Saccharomyces cerevisiae S288C: one gene and its partner. Changing the gene in region 2 together with the main gene of any one other region gives a genetic interaction. Each region holds a gene or a part of one and is shown on either strand. Other genes may lie near its edges.

Region 1 (7,353 bases), on a different chromosome or scaffold from region 2:
CAATATTTTTGAGTGAATAACTTCTGGCTCTAATACATGAGAACCTTTATCCAAGGATAATAAAATTGGTGTCATTCTTGTCACTGGGATTCTTGCATCCGTTATGACTAAATCAATGGTACCATCCGCTGGTAAAGCAGCGGGAAAAAATTTGGTGTCCTTAGCAATATACGGCATTTTCCCTGTGTAAAAGATTGTTAAGTTATCAGTTAGCTCTGAATCCATTTTCTCCCAGTCTCTAGGTACTGGTTCCGTCATCGGATACTTTAATTTAAAGTTGTCCTCGTTGAGAAAATTCGGTGAAAGTTCATCTTTTGTACTGTTGTTGATATTGTTTTTAGATAGTAAATCCGGCGAAGAGTTTGGGCTAGGATTTGGTTCGAAGGTTAAACATCCTTTGTTTTTATCTTTATTTTCTAAGAAATGAACTTTTAATTCCTTTTTAGATTTGGCAGCATATTTGACGAAAACTTCGCAGGGATATTTCTTACCTTGGATAATGTTGAATGCTACACCCAAATTAAACCTAACGGGACCCATCCATCTGATGAATTCAGTGTTAATATCAGATTCTGCAATAACGCCGTACGTCTGACTCAAAAAGGATAATCTTGGCCATTCGTTCATATAAGAAGGTTGGGAACAACACATTAAGTCTATTCTTGTTTCAATGGATTTGACAAGGCACAGAGCGGCGTACGATGGGTTATTTGTCCAATGACATGAAATGCTCATAGCATTTCCTGAACCGCAAGGTAGCTGAGTTACGGCTAGTTTATTGAACGCATCCACTCTGTCGGGTCTTCTATAAAGCCCATTAATTACTTCGTATGGAATACCATCACCCGAGGCACATGCAATGGTATCGTATTTGCTGATATCTAAATCTTTGGCAATATCGATGGCGTGACGGGCATATTTTGTGTATGCAATTTCTATTTTGCAGCCACTTTCCACTAGTATTGGCCTTGCTTTTGTCAGGAATAAATTTTTAGCAGTACCTTTACCACCGTGGGGATTAATAATGACTAATATCGATCTGTTTCTCTTGGAATTTTCATAACTTTTTTCCAGGATTTCTTCCACAGTACCAGAAGAAATGTTCTCCTCTCCGGTATTTGCTCTCGATTTCCTAGAAACGTGATCTATTAACAAGGTTAATTTTTGTGGTATAACATCATGGCCCTTGGGTACAGCAAAAGTTAACTCAATTAACTGTTGATTATCTTTTATCCCTAAAGATGGTGAGTTATCCTGTGAATCATCGGGAGACACCTTCACAGTGTTCGTTTTTGTATCCCACTTGTCTTTTTTGGGAAATGACTGTGATTCGCTTACAGGAGCCTTATCATTGCTCAAACTATGATTCTCAACGTCGTCATTTTCAGACGAAGAACTCAGATTTTCCGTTTGAAAAGGATTCGAAGAAATTTTGCCATTATTGAAGCCTTTCTGACCGACATTCACATATTTTGCGTTCAAAATTCTGTTGAACGGAATGGTAGTATTAAGAGGCAACAGTTCCAGGGAATCATCCTCATCAAAAGAACCTCCATCAGAGCTCAAAGTTCCATCATCCAGACAGGACAAGCAGCTCAACAAGGATAAAGAATCTCCGCTTCTGAGTTGACCATGCTTATTGAACATATGGTGTGATTGCGATTTGATCAATACACCTTCATCGGTCAAGATAGCCCTAAGTTTTTTCTGCACCACCATTATCTATAGTAGATTCTTCGCGTACTTTTCGCTGCTAGACTTTTGTGTTCTTGATAACCTCCAGGATCAGTACGTTAGACAAGGGAAAGTATCAGATGGGTTAAACACGAATTTTCACCTTCTTGTATGCCTTTCTTCCGTTAAATCATCTTTTTGCTTCAAGACCCTTGCAGCACGTTTTTTTCAGGCTCGGCAGTAGGGTGACACCCATGGTTTACAAGGCGATAAAATGACAAATGCCAGGTGGTATTGTAATAATAACGGCAAGAGTATAGAAAGTCAGAGGGGAAAGCACATTGAATGGTCCTGGTAAAGGGAGTTGTTAATGAGTAAGCGGGGTAGTTTACAGGATAGAGCTTCCCCATCGGAGGAAACTGTAAAGAAGGCGCAGAAGAGACGGAAACCAATAAAGTCATGCGCTTTTTGTAGGAAAAGGAAATTACGTTGCGACCAGCAGAAGCCAATGTGCTCAACTTGTAAGACGAGGGGTCGTTCTGGTTGCCTGTATACAGAGAAATTCACCCACAAAATAGAAACAAAAGAGTTATTTGGCAGTACTCCGAACATTGAACTGTTGAAAAGGATTGAGGATTTAGAGAAAAGACTAGATGACAAAGAGTTGACGGAGAAGGATGTAGCGCTTAGTACGAGCCCATTTAGGAACCCTTACGCTAATTTTTACTATTTACAATGTAAAGGCTCGGGAAGAAGAATAGTATATGGTCCTACATCTTTGAGAACGCATCTCTCAAACGATGATAATCGGTTTGTAAACACGTATAATCAGCTCTGGTCCAAAGTGAAAATCGAGAGAAACAGATGGAAGGCTAGGCATAAATGGACAATGAAGCCAGAAACTCAACTCCTAGAGGGACCGCCGTTAGAAAAGACAGGCTCTGACATCTTGCAACAGGTTTGTAACGTTTTGCCATCTTTTGAACAATCGTCAAAGATTATAACAGACTTTTTCAATACTGAACTGGAAACTAATGAAGTTAGTGAAGTATTAGATAAAACCAAAATAATAAACGATTTCACTTCCTCGTTTCTTCCAAGTGACGAACTGTTACCCAACGGTGAAAGGCGGATTGAAAAGTTATTACCATCGACAAAGAAAAACTATTATAAGATTGGAGTTATTTTGATGATACTGTGTATTCGCCATTTCTACAAAAATACTCCGGAAGAGATAGAGAAATTTCTCATCATGCTGACGGGACTGTCAACAGCTAAAGTATATTTCATTGAACGCGCTCAATTTCTCTTATTGAAATACTATCATCGAGAACTAATTTGGGCGTGTGGAGACGATTCGCATATGATTAGTCTAGTTGACTTATTATGCAGCACGGCAATTATGCTGGGTTTACACTTGAATATAAGAGAAATATACAAAAATCAAGAAAATATTGTGGGGAGTATGGAAAGTTTGGAAAATTTGTGGGTTTGGATTATATTATCAGATTTCAATGTTTCTTTAAATATTGGGAGATGTTTGGCGATTAACTCATCCTATTTTCAAGTCGATGAATGCGAGAATGGTGAGAGGTTGCCTAAAAATACAAACAATTATTCATCGACGGTTTTTTTCGATCAGTCAAATTCCTGCATGGGCAAGCTTAAAAGGTTTTTAAGATTAGCTCGACCAATGCTAGATCAAATTTATGATAGAAGCGCATTTCCAGACTTAGCCGAAAATTGTAAAAAACTAAGAAACTTTGTAGAGACTGAATTCCACCCAATATCATATTACACTGACAGTGAGTTAATATCTAAAGTTCCTTTGTGCGAGATTAAAGTGCTTGCGCAGGTTTTGAATTTGTTGTTGACGTTTTATTCCTTGAGGTATTTGATTTACAAGGAAAAAAGCGTTGTTTTAGAGAACAACATCCTGCAAACCATTTTGGTCTCTTTTTCCCTTGTCATCAATACGACCATACTGTGTTTTAACCTAGATGAGAAGCATTTTCCTGAGTTTTTTGATCATAATTGCGTTCATTTACCGCCATTTATGGCCTTGTCTTTAGTATACACAAATTTCCTTTTTCCTAGGGCCTCTACTGGCTTTTGTGCGTTTTTGTATCATAAGTTAACTCTTTTTGAGAAGGGCTATTATCTATCATCCAACATCAAAGATCAAGAAGTCACAGATTGGGATTTGTCAACCTTGAATATCCCGTTGGATAAAGCTATGAACTTACTTACTGCTTTCAAAATACATTCAGATATATTTGCTAAATGGTCTAATGATAACAACAAGCAGTTAAGAATTATTATGGCTCGCTCTTATACATTTGTTATCAACATCGCCCTGGAAAGCATATATAGAGCTGTTTTGGAAAAAGTAATCAAATATAGAACCGAGGTCGAAAACACATGGTTACAACAACTCCAAGACGAATTGAATGGGTCCTATTCGCTCACTGACAATGTAAATACTCCAATCGATCCCAGTTTAAGTGACCTGGGCGTCACAAGCGCCAGTCCATTGGCGGGAAATTCTCCAGGATTACCCCCGGAGGAAGTGCGAAATAACAGCGAAAACGCTTCGCATAACAATGAAACTGGGCCAATTGAGACTGAACTGGCACAGACAATATCCAACGAATTTTGGACGGCGTACAACCTTGGCTGGGAGGAACTAATGAGTCAGCCAGATTATAAATATTTATTTGATACGCAGTAGAGGAGAAGTTCTTTTACAAAAAAACATGCTTGCGACAGCAGCTAGATAGAAAACTTGCATATTGTAATGGAAGACAGTCGAGAGCAAGCCATTGGCTTGGACTTGCGCTTGGACCTATCTTTCGGACCAACTATTTAATGATTAGTAAGACAAAAATGACATTTAAGCATCTATAAAATAAGAAAAATAAAAAAATGAAGGGAAAAAGCTAAACACTAACTTCTTGACCAAACAAACAAGGAAAAGCCAGTAATTGCGTGAACAAAAGGCACCTGCAATTGTTCTGATGGATGTACTTTGTCCAACCTATTCTGCAAGAAAAAGAAATCAACTCCAAAGAAGTATGGAGCTTACTGGCACTCTAGCCTCCAAAAGCTGTTAAAGTGTTCATTCGATTGTCAAAAATCTTCCCCATAATAATCACCCACCTCAACAAAATACTTCCACTTAATTATTGATCGATTAGAGCTAGCGTCAGTGATTATATGCTAGTCCGAAAGGACAGCCCCATGACAGCGGCCGCGCAGACGCCTAGGGGGGAAATAAGGGGTGACAATACCAATGAGTATAAAGGCAGAAAGAAGAGAAACAGAAGCACGGGGGTTTCGTTTGGTCTTCAAATATATGTTAGGTCGGTACCTTTTCATTGCAAAATTGAAAAGATTTGAGCGTGTAAAAGTAAAAAAATACATGATGGGTTCCCAAGATTTAGCTAGTTTAATTGGGAGGTTTAAATACGTCAGGGTGTTAGATTCGAACCCTCATACAAAGGTAATCTCACTACTAGGCAGCATAGATGGGAAGGATGCCGTGTTAACTGCTGAAAAGACGCATTTCATATTTGATGAAACGGTACGTAGACCCTCTCAAAGTGGCCGTAGCACTCCGATTTTCTTTCATCGTGAAATAGACGAGTACTCCTTTTTAAACGGTATTACTGATCTGAAGGAATTAACTTCGAATGACATCTACTACTGGGGGTTGTCTGTTTTGAAGCAGCATATTTTGCATAACCCAACTGCGAAGGTTAACTTAATTTGGCCCGCCTCGCAGTTCCACATCAAGGGATACGACCAGCAGGATTTACATGTCGTCAGAGAAACTCCTGATATGTATAGAAACATAGTTGTGCCCTTTATCCAAGAGATGTGTACCAGCGAAAGAATGAAATGGGTAAACAACATTCTTTACGAGGGCGCCGAGGATGATAGAGTTGTTTATAAGGAATACAGTAGCAGGAATAAAGAGGATGGATTCGTCATCTTGCCCGATATGAAGTGGGACGGAATCAACATTGATTCGTTATACCTGGTCGCGATCGTGTACAGGGACGACATCAAATCTTTGAGAGATTTGAACCCAAACCATAGAGATTGGTTAATTAGACTCAATAAGAAGATTAAGACCATCATCCCCCAGCACTATGACTATAATGTAAACCCGGACGAGCTAAGAGTTTTCATTCATTATCAACCTTCATATTACCATTTTCATGTCCATATAGTGAATATAAGGCATCCAGGAGTAGGCGAGGAGAGAGGCTCCGGAATGACAATACTGTTGGAAGATGTTATAGAAGCGTTGGGTTTCTTAGGTCCTGAAGGTTATATGAAGAAGACGCTTACTTATGTCATTGGTGAAAATCATGATTTATGGAAAAAGGGCTTTAAGGAAGAAGTTGAAAAGCAACTGAAGCATGATGGTATCGCAACCAGTCCTGAAAAAGGCTCTGGGTTCAATACCAATTTGGGTTGAAGGTAGAAGAGCAGCACTATTTTTTCATGTGCTGAACTTCAGGAAGCGCCGGCTTATATAAATGTCTTATTTAAATGTTTGTGTATACATCTCAATGGATTTTGAATTTTAACATAGAATGCGAATGCACAGTAACATAGTACATTCAGTTGCTATTTTCCGTATAAGCTTTCTTTCCCTTATAGCATACATAGCCTTTGACGTATTGCCAGCCTTTTCAAAGAAATGCGAAAAAATAGTGCATTACCACCTACGTAAGGTAGGCTGGAGAAAAAGATAAACTTTTGCATTCTCTGCTCACCATACCGCGAAGGAAAGTAGTTATAACGTGTCCCGTTTTCAACAAGGTTTTCTGGTATATTGTTAACGGTGGAGAAAGCATCTAGTATCAATTACTTCCAGAGTACACACAACGAATGTTATGTCTGTCCAAGATACTAAAGCGGTAGAGTTTTCTATGGGTCACATCAGATCATCCTCTGTATCCCTGGTAGCAGAGGCTACTTCAAACACGAATAGTGAAGACAAATTATCTAAGGTCCAACTCTACGAAGATTTGTGCCGGTACGAGGATACATTGAGTAAGTTGGTGGAATCTGTAGATCGTTTCAAACCAAACCTTGATATTGCCAAGGATTTGATCAGAACTGATGAGGCCTTGTTTGAAAACGTCAAACTGTTAGCTGAATATGACAATATCTACCGCAACTTACAGAAGATTGACAAAGACTCTGAAGAACTAGATTCTAAAACCAGGAAGATATTGGAAATTCTAAATGAATGTCATGACGAGTTAAAAGCACTACCGATGCTTGAACAAGTAGAGTTCGAGAAAAACACAATTTTACAGCAAAGATCGAAAATCAATTCGACAGAGTTGTTGGATTATGCCACCAAACTCTCCAAGTTTACCAAAATACCACCAACGTTCGACAAGGGAGCTGTGGGACCCAACAATTTTATATGGCCCGCAGAGGATGCCCTACGAAGAGGAATGCTTGCTATGGCCTCATTACATAGTAAAGAGCTAACTAGAATACCCGGTGAAGAAGTAGAAGAAACAGAAGTACCGACCGTACCGCCATCTCAAAGTGAAGAACAAAAAGGGCAGATGGCCAAGAAAGAAGGTACACCAAAGACAGACTCGTTTATATTTGATGGTACTGCTAAAGAAGTTGGTGATGAGGCAGACA
Region 2 (8,898 bases):
TTTCTCACCCATGGCTCCAGGAGTTGATAATTTAGCGTCAAGATGACGTTTCCTGCGCGACACGGCCGTATTGTCAGAGTTTTGTAAAGTGGTACCGTCTTCGTATCCCGATTGACAGCTGGTCAAAGGGGTCATATACTGGCCTCTGTCGAAGTACGTTTCTTCGCAGCCAAATATAATAGTTATTAAAAGGCCACCAGATATGATCACTGCGACCCAACCGACCCAACGGAAGTTGGTAAATGCAGATATGTACCCAGCGATCAATGGGCCCAAGAACGTACCGATACTAGTGCACATGATATACACGGTCAATACGGAGCCCAATTGGTGCTGGAAAAAAATGTCGCTCAGGGACAGTTGCACCTGGGCTTCAGCACAGGACTCACTAATACCTACAAACAACTGAGACCATATTGTGTCGCTCGTTCTTTTGGCCAAAGCAAACCAAAGCGCACCAAAGAGACCTAATGTGGTGCAAACTATGTACGTAATCTTCCTGCCATACAAGTTAGCAAATGGAGCCAAGAATAAAGTGGACCAACCAATACCTAGGAAAAGAACACCAGCCCCTGTGTTCATGGAATCGTAGGATATCCCATAAATCTCATTCAATGAGTCTTGAGCAGCACCAGCGTCGTTACTAGTAGCGGCGGTAAACGCAGTTATAAAGGCCATTAGACCAAAATGAGCCAATTTCCTCCAGCTAGACCAGTTCAGTGGATCATTTGGCGAGTATGATGGTTGAGGGATTAGGACGACTCCTGAGGAGGTTTTCTTCAATTTTGATTCGTATATAATACCATTTTCCAAATTTTGGGAAGAATAGATGTTAAATGTGCCAGGAATATAGTCCGGATGATCCCTGTTGGTATATTTGTCCATCTGTTAAAAATTTAAGATTCACACTCGCAAACTTTCTTCTATAGTAGTTCTTTTCTTTATATTCGTTAGAAATGCAAAAGTTGCGAAGCTGTTTTGTTATATCCTGTAGATTGTAATATGATACTTCGATTCTTTCGGATTTAGTGTTTACTTGCTATTCTTCTAGTTTCAAATAAATAAGATAATAAGGGATGTCAACTTGGTAGTAATAGCATGAAATAGTATCGTAAAATTAAGGATGCTAGCGCTTTCGACAACAAAATGGGCTTGTTTTATTTTTGCAGAGGAGGTTCAGTAAATATTACCTCAGAGACTGATACAGATAATTCTTTCTTATTCGACTGCGTATTTATCTTTATCGTTTAGATTGAAGACAATAGACAATTAAATGAATCTATAGAAAGGTTAGGAAATAGTCTAAACTACTATGGTTTGTTAACGGCGAGGTCTTTAGTTTAATTTTCTGTCTGGAAAATAACTTTATCCTAAAAAGAAAATTTTCATCAACTGCAACTTTTTTTGTTATGCTTTTGTTCTCGCTAGGCGAAAGCTCCCTAAAAATATCCGTAGAATTTCATATGACACAACCAGGCCTTGATGTAAACGTCAAACTACACATTTCTCAAAGCTTAGAGAGCTGATGCATGAAATTTTTGCATTGTGTGGTATTATATGTGACTTAAGAAAGTAATTGTACATCATAAGAGAGAAAAATTCTGTTCAGAGAAGAACTATTTGAATATATTTTAAAAGATAAAAAAATGTCTTGGCAAAAATAAGTAAGTAATGAAAAAGAAATTTTCTCGAAGAAAAAAATGAAAAAAATGACTAAGTACTCAATATCCTTGATTTTCTAGTTTTCATTTTCCTCAAAAAAACTTGTCCACATTCATTCTCTGAATCGTTCTTCTTTGGTATATACTATCATGCGAATACGTCTTTTTTCTTTTGATATTAAAATATCTACAGACTATTTTGTGCACCTATAAAATAAATTTTGTCATGACTTGTAATTTTCCCATAATCGGGACTATTTAAGGACCAAAAATACACTTTCGCCCAACTTGCTGCTTGACCAGGACTTTCGATAATCTCCTAATTACACTAGCTAGTTTTTACTTGTTATGGTTTGTGCAGTTGAGATAGCTCAGTAAAATGGCTTTATGTGTTCTGATCTTATAATGAATCGTAATCGAAATCCACATATTTCATTCATACTGACGGAGAATAGGTTAAGCGCTGCTGCTATGGTACCTACTTTTACTCTTTGTGGTGTGCGATTAGTTTTGTAATACAAGGGTACTTCTGGTAATAAATATACAATTATTTTATGAAACTATGATACAGGAGGGCAGAAGTTCTGACGATAGAGCTACAAAAGGTAGTATCGACCTAGGAATTTATAAGGACTGTTTTTCTTTCAACAGCATCTTAGATGCATGTAGGGAAAACAACGATGCTGATAATGCAGAAAACTACTGCATACACTACTGAGGTGTAATTCATGTTTCCTGCAGTAACCGGTAGTGTATATGGGAAAGATAAAAATACCAGGCAGAACAAGGTCCATAGAATACATATAATATGAGGAATCATAGACATACGACGACGGTTAGGCCTGCTGACACAATTTACGTCACTCTCGATTCTATGAATGAATTTTTCCTTTTTAATAACGAACAGGAATATAAAAGAAGGAACTGCGTACGACATTAGTAACAGGGTGATGCATGCAGTGATAATTGCGTTGAAAGCGGTACTAGATCCCATAAATATACAGCCAATTATCGTTACACATATTTGTGACAAAAAATGGGCATATAATGGAGACTTAAACCCAGGTGTCAACACTGCTAGCTTCTTCAAGGATTTGTTTCCCAAGGAACCCTCTTTATAAAATGGTGCGTAACTTTTCCCGAATGATTGGAGGATTCGACTTTGCCAGGTTCCACTTGCAATGCCTGAAACAAAACCTGTTGTGATACACATACATTGCAGGAAGACACTGAGATTCCTATTACCAGTGGCCTGGTAAAATATTTCTACGATAGGTAAAATAGACTCAACGACTGCCGTTTGGTCAGTGATGCAGAAAAACAAACCAACGCAATAAATAAAACTAGTTACAAAGCCCACAATGATGGTAGTGATAATAACTTTGGGAACTAAGAAACGTGACTTACTATAACCCACTTCATCAATCATGTGCGTAGCAGAGTCAATGCCAACAAATGCCCAGATCGGATTGACCAAACCGACAACAAACGCCATTCCAGACGAATTCCAGCCTGTTTGATTATCAAAGCTCCCAAATATATTAGAAGCTTTGGGCCATGGGTCTACGGTGTTGTCAGATCTTGAAACAATACAAATAATGAAAGTCATGGCGAAAGACAATAGAGACGTATAGAGCCCAAACTGAGAGATATAGGGCAACGGAGTTGAATAAATGTTGAAAAGTGTCAAAACGGCATTGATACACTCGTAACCCACAAAAACATGCCAGTGCTTTAACTCGTAGTCCGGATGCAACAACTTATGAATACCGATACAGCTCATTGACAAAGATGAGCAGATACTTGCGGTAGTAAAAATGGCACCGAAATAGTTCAGCAACCCTACAACCATGGAAGAAACCTTTTGAAATTTAGAAGAAACTTCCACGTTGAAAGTTTGACAATAATTCTCGAGGAACACTTCTTCATCATCGTCAGAAGGGTCCTCGTACTCAGGGGTTTTCAAAGTGACTGATTCTTGTTCCAACATTTTAAGAACCCAAAATGAACCACCGCTGCTGTTTGGCAGGATAGCAGCAAAATCTCCCAGAGATATACCACACATGAGACTGAAAAAAGCAGCAATTATCAACCCATAGATGATAAGCAGTGGCCCTCCACTGGCAATACCAACGGCCATCGACGCTGAGATACCGACCCATGAGCAACTTAATGAGAACGCGATACCTAATAGGGACCACCAATTAAAGTGCTTGTCAAACTTGACTTCTGACCTTTCTGAACTAGACATTCTTATTTCCGTCCTGTGACGATCTGGAACAATAGACAAAAAAAAATTTCTTTCATATACAAATAGGAACACTGCCCCTACTCTGTTCATACCATGCTACTTATATATAGCTGATGAAAGCCTTGCAACTTTTTTATTTAAACTATTCTACGTCTTGTTGGGTCATTAATGACTCCACCGATGGCAGTTCATGCAACTCCATATCCTGATCATGTGCCGTAGTACATTGTGCAACCTGTGCCATAATATTGACACCGAACTTCTTCAGGGCCTGCACGTTGCCTTCATTCGGTTCCCCATTGAGAATGACCCCAAAAAGGTGGCTTCTCAAGCCATTATCGCAAAGATGATTCCAAGTCAGCAATGTATGATTCAGAGTCCCTAGCCCGCTGCGTGCCACGACAACTACGTACACTGGATGGCCGCTAGTCTCAATCAGATGTTTAATTAGATCCGTCGTAATTTCCAATTTACGAGTGATAGGAACGCAAACCCCGCCGGCTCCTTCTACGACCAATGGATTCTCTGCGCTCCACTCTTCAGGAACTACGAAATCCAACAACCTGATGTCGACATTAGGTTCGTACTCCATGGCCTGGAGCGGAGATAGAGGCTTCTGCAGCGCATAAGTGGGCGTGAATATAGGTGGTTGCCAAGTTGATGCGGCTATTTTGAAATTTTTCAATGTCTCGGAGTCACCTTGATCTGACTCAATTCCAGTTTGTACGGGTTTCCAGTATGCAGCTTTCCATTTGTGTACCAATAATGTTGATACAAAGGTTTTACCAACATCAGTGTCTGTACCGGTGACGAATACAATTGGTTGTTGTTCTTGTTGTTGAGATTTGCTGTTCATGACCTGTGCGCTAGTGATTTTTTGAGTTCTTTTCACTGGCCTACTTGTGGAAAAAAGTATATCTCTTTATATACTTCAGTAAACGAACTACCAGCGGGATTTTATTTTGTTTTGCCCAATAATTTTGAATTATAAATAGCCATTGTTTGTATATTTCATTTTCTTTTGGTCGGGAGGATGTCAACAGCGCAATTCGTTTTCTATTGCTAGGATAACAACTAATGTCCCAAGAAATTTCATATACACCAGATGTCGCGGAACTGCTAGACTTTGATAAAAAACATATTTGGCATCCTTATACGTCATTGAGTTCACCATTGAACGTTTATCCGGTAAAGAGTGCTCACGGATGCAAGCTGGTGTTGGATACCGACTCACCAGTGGACGTCGAGGTGATCGACGCCATGTCGTCGTGGTGGTGTGTTATTCACGGGTACAATAATCCAGAACTAAATGAGGCCCTTACCAAGCAGATGTTAAAGTTTTCTCACGTCCTTCTTGGTGGATTCACCCATAAAGGAGCTGTGAATCTAGTCCAAAAACTTTTAAAAGTGATTGATGAACCCTCTTTGCAGTACTGTTTCCTCGCAGATTCTGGCTCAGTAGCAGTGGAAGTAGCTTTGAAGATGGCTTTACAATCAAACATGTCAGGGGAAGCTACTAAAAATAGAACAAAGTTTTTGACAATCAAGAACGGGTATCATGGTGATACATTTGGCGCTATGAGTGTTTGTGATCCTGAGAATTCTATGCATCATATCTACAACGATCGACTCAGTGAGAACATCTTCGCCCAAGCTCCCTCTATTGTCGATGGCCTTCCAACCAGCCAGAACGGTTTCGAGGACCATTGGAATGCAGAAGAAGTTACCGATCTCAAGAAGCAATTTGAATTGCATAGTGATAAGATCTGTGCTGTGATTTTGGAGCCTATCTTACAGGGTGCAGGAGGTTTGCGACCATACCATCCACAGTTCTTAATCGAAGTTCAGAAACTATGTAACCAATACGACGTTTTATTCATCATGGACGAGATTGCTACAGGATTTGGTAGAACAGGTGAGATTTTCGCATTCAAGCACTGTCAAAAATACCAGGACCAACATGGCATCAGTCCTTCCGATCAGATCAAAGTTGTTCCTGACATATTGTGCGTTGGGAAGGGCTTAACCAGTGGATATATGACTATGAGTGCAGTGGTAGTCAACGACAAAGTTGCTTCCAGAATCTCTTCTCCAAATAGCCCTACTGGTGGCTGCTTCATGCATGGCCCCACCTTCATGGGCAATGCCCTGGCATGCAGTGTGGCAGAAAAGTCTATGGATATACTACTGCGTGGCGAGTGGAGAAAACAAGTGTCTGCAATTGAAAACCAAATTTATAGAGAACTATACCAGTACATCAAGAACCCAGATAATGGGCTCATTGGAACTGTTGTTAAGCGTGTGTCAGTTATTGGAGCTGTAGGTATCGTAGAGCTATACAAGAAGACAGATCCCGAGTGGTTCCAGAAAAAGTTTATATCCAAGGGAGTACATATCCGACCTTTCAACTGCCTGTGTTACATTATGCCACCATATGTGATCACGACAGAGGAATTGACGAAGGTTAATCAAGTCTTGATTGAAGTATTACATGAGTGGAAATCCCACATAAACCAATGATATACGATCTCATCAAGTCATTTGCCAAGGAATTCTTATTTCTTGCGTAAAATGCATTCTTTTACGCTATTATTTATATTGATATAACTCAAAATAAAAAATTTATGGTTATTTATTCTAGCGGACCTTTATATCTTACTTTTCTTATCATAAAACTATGTCGAAGCCTGCTGCACAAGAGAAAATTGACTAGTTCAGGGCAAGAACGTATCACAGGAAGTACGAGTTGAGAAATCTGGACCGAAATGGTCCGTGGTCGCCTACCCGCCTTCTGTGCCATCACGGTACTCTCTTCTATGTTCTCCCATTAGCGCTAGTTACACTCCTCAGCAGCTGACACATCTCACGATCCTATCTTTTATTTATTATGAGAAGAACGGAAAAGATGGGATATTATAGGCTCAGCTTACTCTTCAAGCAACTACTGTTGAACCGGGTCGTACAACTCATACCTTTGAACCCTCTGGTAAATTTTTCCGGCAGAGTCAAGATTATTATTGAGGCAAACCTGTAAATTTCCTTCAGCATTTGATTATCTTCCGCTACTTGAAATTTTGCACTATATCTTCCTCTATTAACCTATCCGCAGTAACTATTCACAAGACCTTGAATGTAGTAAACGATGTCTATATAACTTAATATTGTGTAAGATCTTACAAGATGTACTGGGCCCAGGCTTTTCACGGGGATCAAACCGTTGCTCTCCTAGATGAGAAAACGCTTTGCCATCACACTGAAGTAGCATGGGCAGTATTTTCCCTCGAATATTGTTATTATCAAAGCAAGCAATATCAGCAGTAGTTTTTATTTCAACATATAAGATCACCTATGTTGCAATCTCTGCAAAATTAGTAATGTTACCCTCCAAGTAATTGTATGACCTCTCTTCTGAAGGTAAACATTGCGCCTCTTTGTTTAAAGCAGCAGCACTAGTTTATCATGGTTTCGTTACCTAGGAAAGGATCGGTAGTGCTATGTAACACTTGGAAAAGATGAAATTTGTTAACATGAAATTGAGTCCCTTGTGTTAAGGTAAAAGTGCCATCTTTAAAAACGTACTCTGCAAAAAATGGTATTGCGCATACGAAGAATTAAGAAACTGGCACCATTGATCTTCACATCATTGTTGTCTCTCATTGTTCTTTTTAGGGTCTACCGACAGTATCCATTCTCCGACCATTTCGAAACACGCAGAGAAGATGATCGCTCTGGCAACGTGCACTGCTTTTCTAGACTGCGTCAAATAGAGGAATATGAAAAGCCGGAATTGACAAGTAAATTCTATGAACCGAATAGATGGAAATCTTTTATATCTTACGTGACCAGGAGTCGCAAGGATGTGAAAACTGTGTCCCGATCGCTATCCAATTTGGATTTGTATCAAAAATGCTCAAAAGAAATCCGTGCTGATCAGGATATTTCCCTTCTTCATAGCATAGAAACCAAGTTGTTCCCATATATAAACTTCACAGCCCTAAATAGTGAACAATCTCATAATTTTTGGCCTGTTCATACCCGATTTGATGGAACAAAGTACCGTGGACAGGTATTACAATTTTCTTCTGAGAACAATTCGTTCATTGGAACTTCACCCATTGAATTCAAGGCTAGCGAACCTTTTTGGGAGAACTGGTTGAATTCAGCTCTTCAAAGGAATTCAAAAGGTGTGGTAATGAGCGTATCGGAATATCTGGTGGCTGATACAATTCGACTAATAAGAGTTTTGCGGCTGTTAAATAATTCCCTTCCAATTGAAATCGTTCACAAATCGGATTTACATGAGAGTTCTCAACAGCTCTTGATAGCAGCAGCAAGAGAATCTGGATCCTTAAATTATCCCCCTCAGGAATTGTGGTTTCTGGATGTGAAAGACATGTTAAATGACGAATATTTAGCGAGATTCAAGAGATTTTCGAATAAGTGGCTGGCAATTACCTTTTGTTCATTTCAAATACCAATCTTTTTGGACTCTGATACTGTACCTTTTGTCCCGTTGGATACACTCTATGAAATTGACGGATTTAAAAGAACAGGTACACTGTTTTTCAAAGACAGGAGTTTTCCAACCTCCAAGTTAAGTCCACTCCAAGTTAAAGTTTTGAAGCAGATAATCAATAATAGTCTGGATGTATCCTCGGATTCGGAGCAAGGTTTTGAAATCTTAAAACATAACCTAAACGATGAGATGGCAATTGATGCAATAGAGGCCTTGATTTTCAAGAAACAAAAACATTACATGGACAGCGGCTTAGTGATATTCGATAAACAAAAACACTTTTTCTGTCTACCAATCGCAATAATGCTGCAATTTTCGCCTATCCAAGAGTTTTTCCATGGTGATAAGGAATGGTTTTGGCTTAGTTTGTTTATTTCCAAAAAAGAGTTTACTTTTTATCCAATAGAGGCTTCGAATGTAGGAAGATTAGAGAAGCCGGAGACTCTAGAAAGCAGTACAATCTGTTCTAC

What was found.
Region 1: mutations in BIO3 (region 2) and YRM1 together harm fitness more than expected from each alone (negative genetic interaction), as found in Saccharomyces cerevisiae (one large-scale study listed by BioGRID).

Annotation. Positions count from the first base shown.
Region 1 is NC_001147.6:652,166-659,518, forward strand, and holds YRM1 (Yrm1p), read left to right. Parts: upstream 1-2,044; coding exon 2,045-4,405; downstream 4,406-7,353. Other genes in the region: sphinganine kinase LCB4, read right to left, coding at 1-1,719; DCS2 (5'-(N(7)-methyl 5'-triphosphoguanosine)-(mRNA) diphosphatase), read left to right, coding at 5,099-6,160; MED4 (Med4p), read left to right, coding at 6,582-7,353. UniProt on the Saccharomyces cerevisiae protein: Transcription factor involved in the regulation of multidrug resistance genes. Acts in concert with YRR1.
Region 2 is NC_001146.8:729,302-738,199, forward strand, and holds BIO3 (adenosylmethionine-8-amino-7-oxononanoate transaminase), read left to right. Parts: upstream 1-4,989; coding exon 4,990-6,432; downstream 6,433-8,898. Other genes in the region: HOL1 (Hol1p), read right to left, coding at 1-885; BIO5 (Bio5p), read right to left, coding at 2,317-4,002; BIO4 (dethiobiotin synthase), read right to left, coding at 4,055-4,768; MNT4 (putative alpha-1,3-mannosyltransferase), read left to right, coding at 7,502-8,898. UniProt on the Saccharomyces cerevisiae protein: Catalyzes the transfer of the alpha-amino group from S-adenosyl-L-methionine (SAM) to 7-keto-8-aminopelargonic acid (KAPA) to form 7,8-diaminopelargonic acid (DAPA). It is the only aminotransferase known to utilize SAM as an amino donor.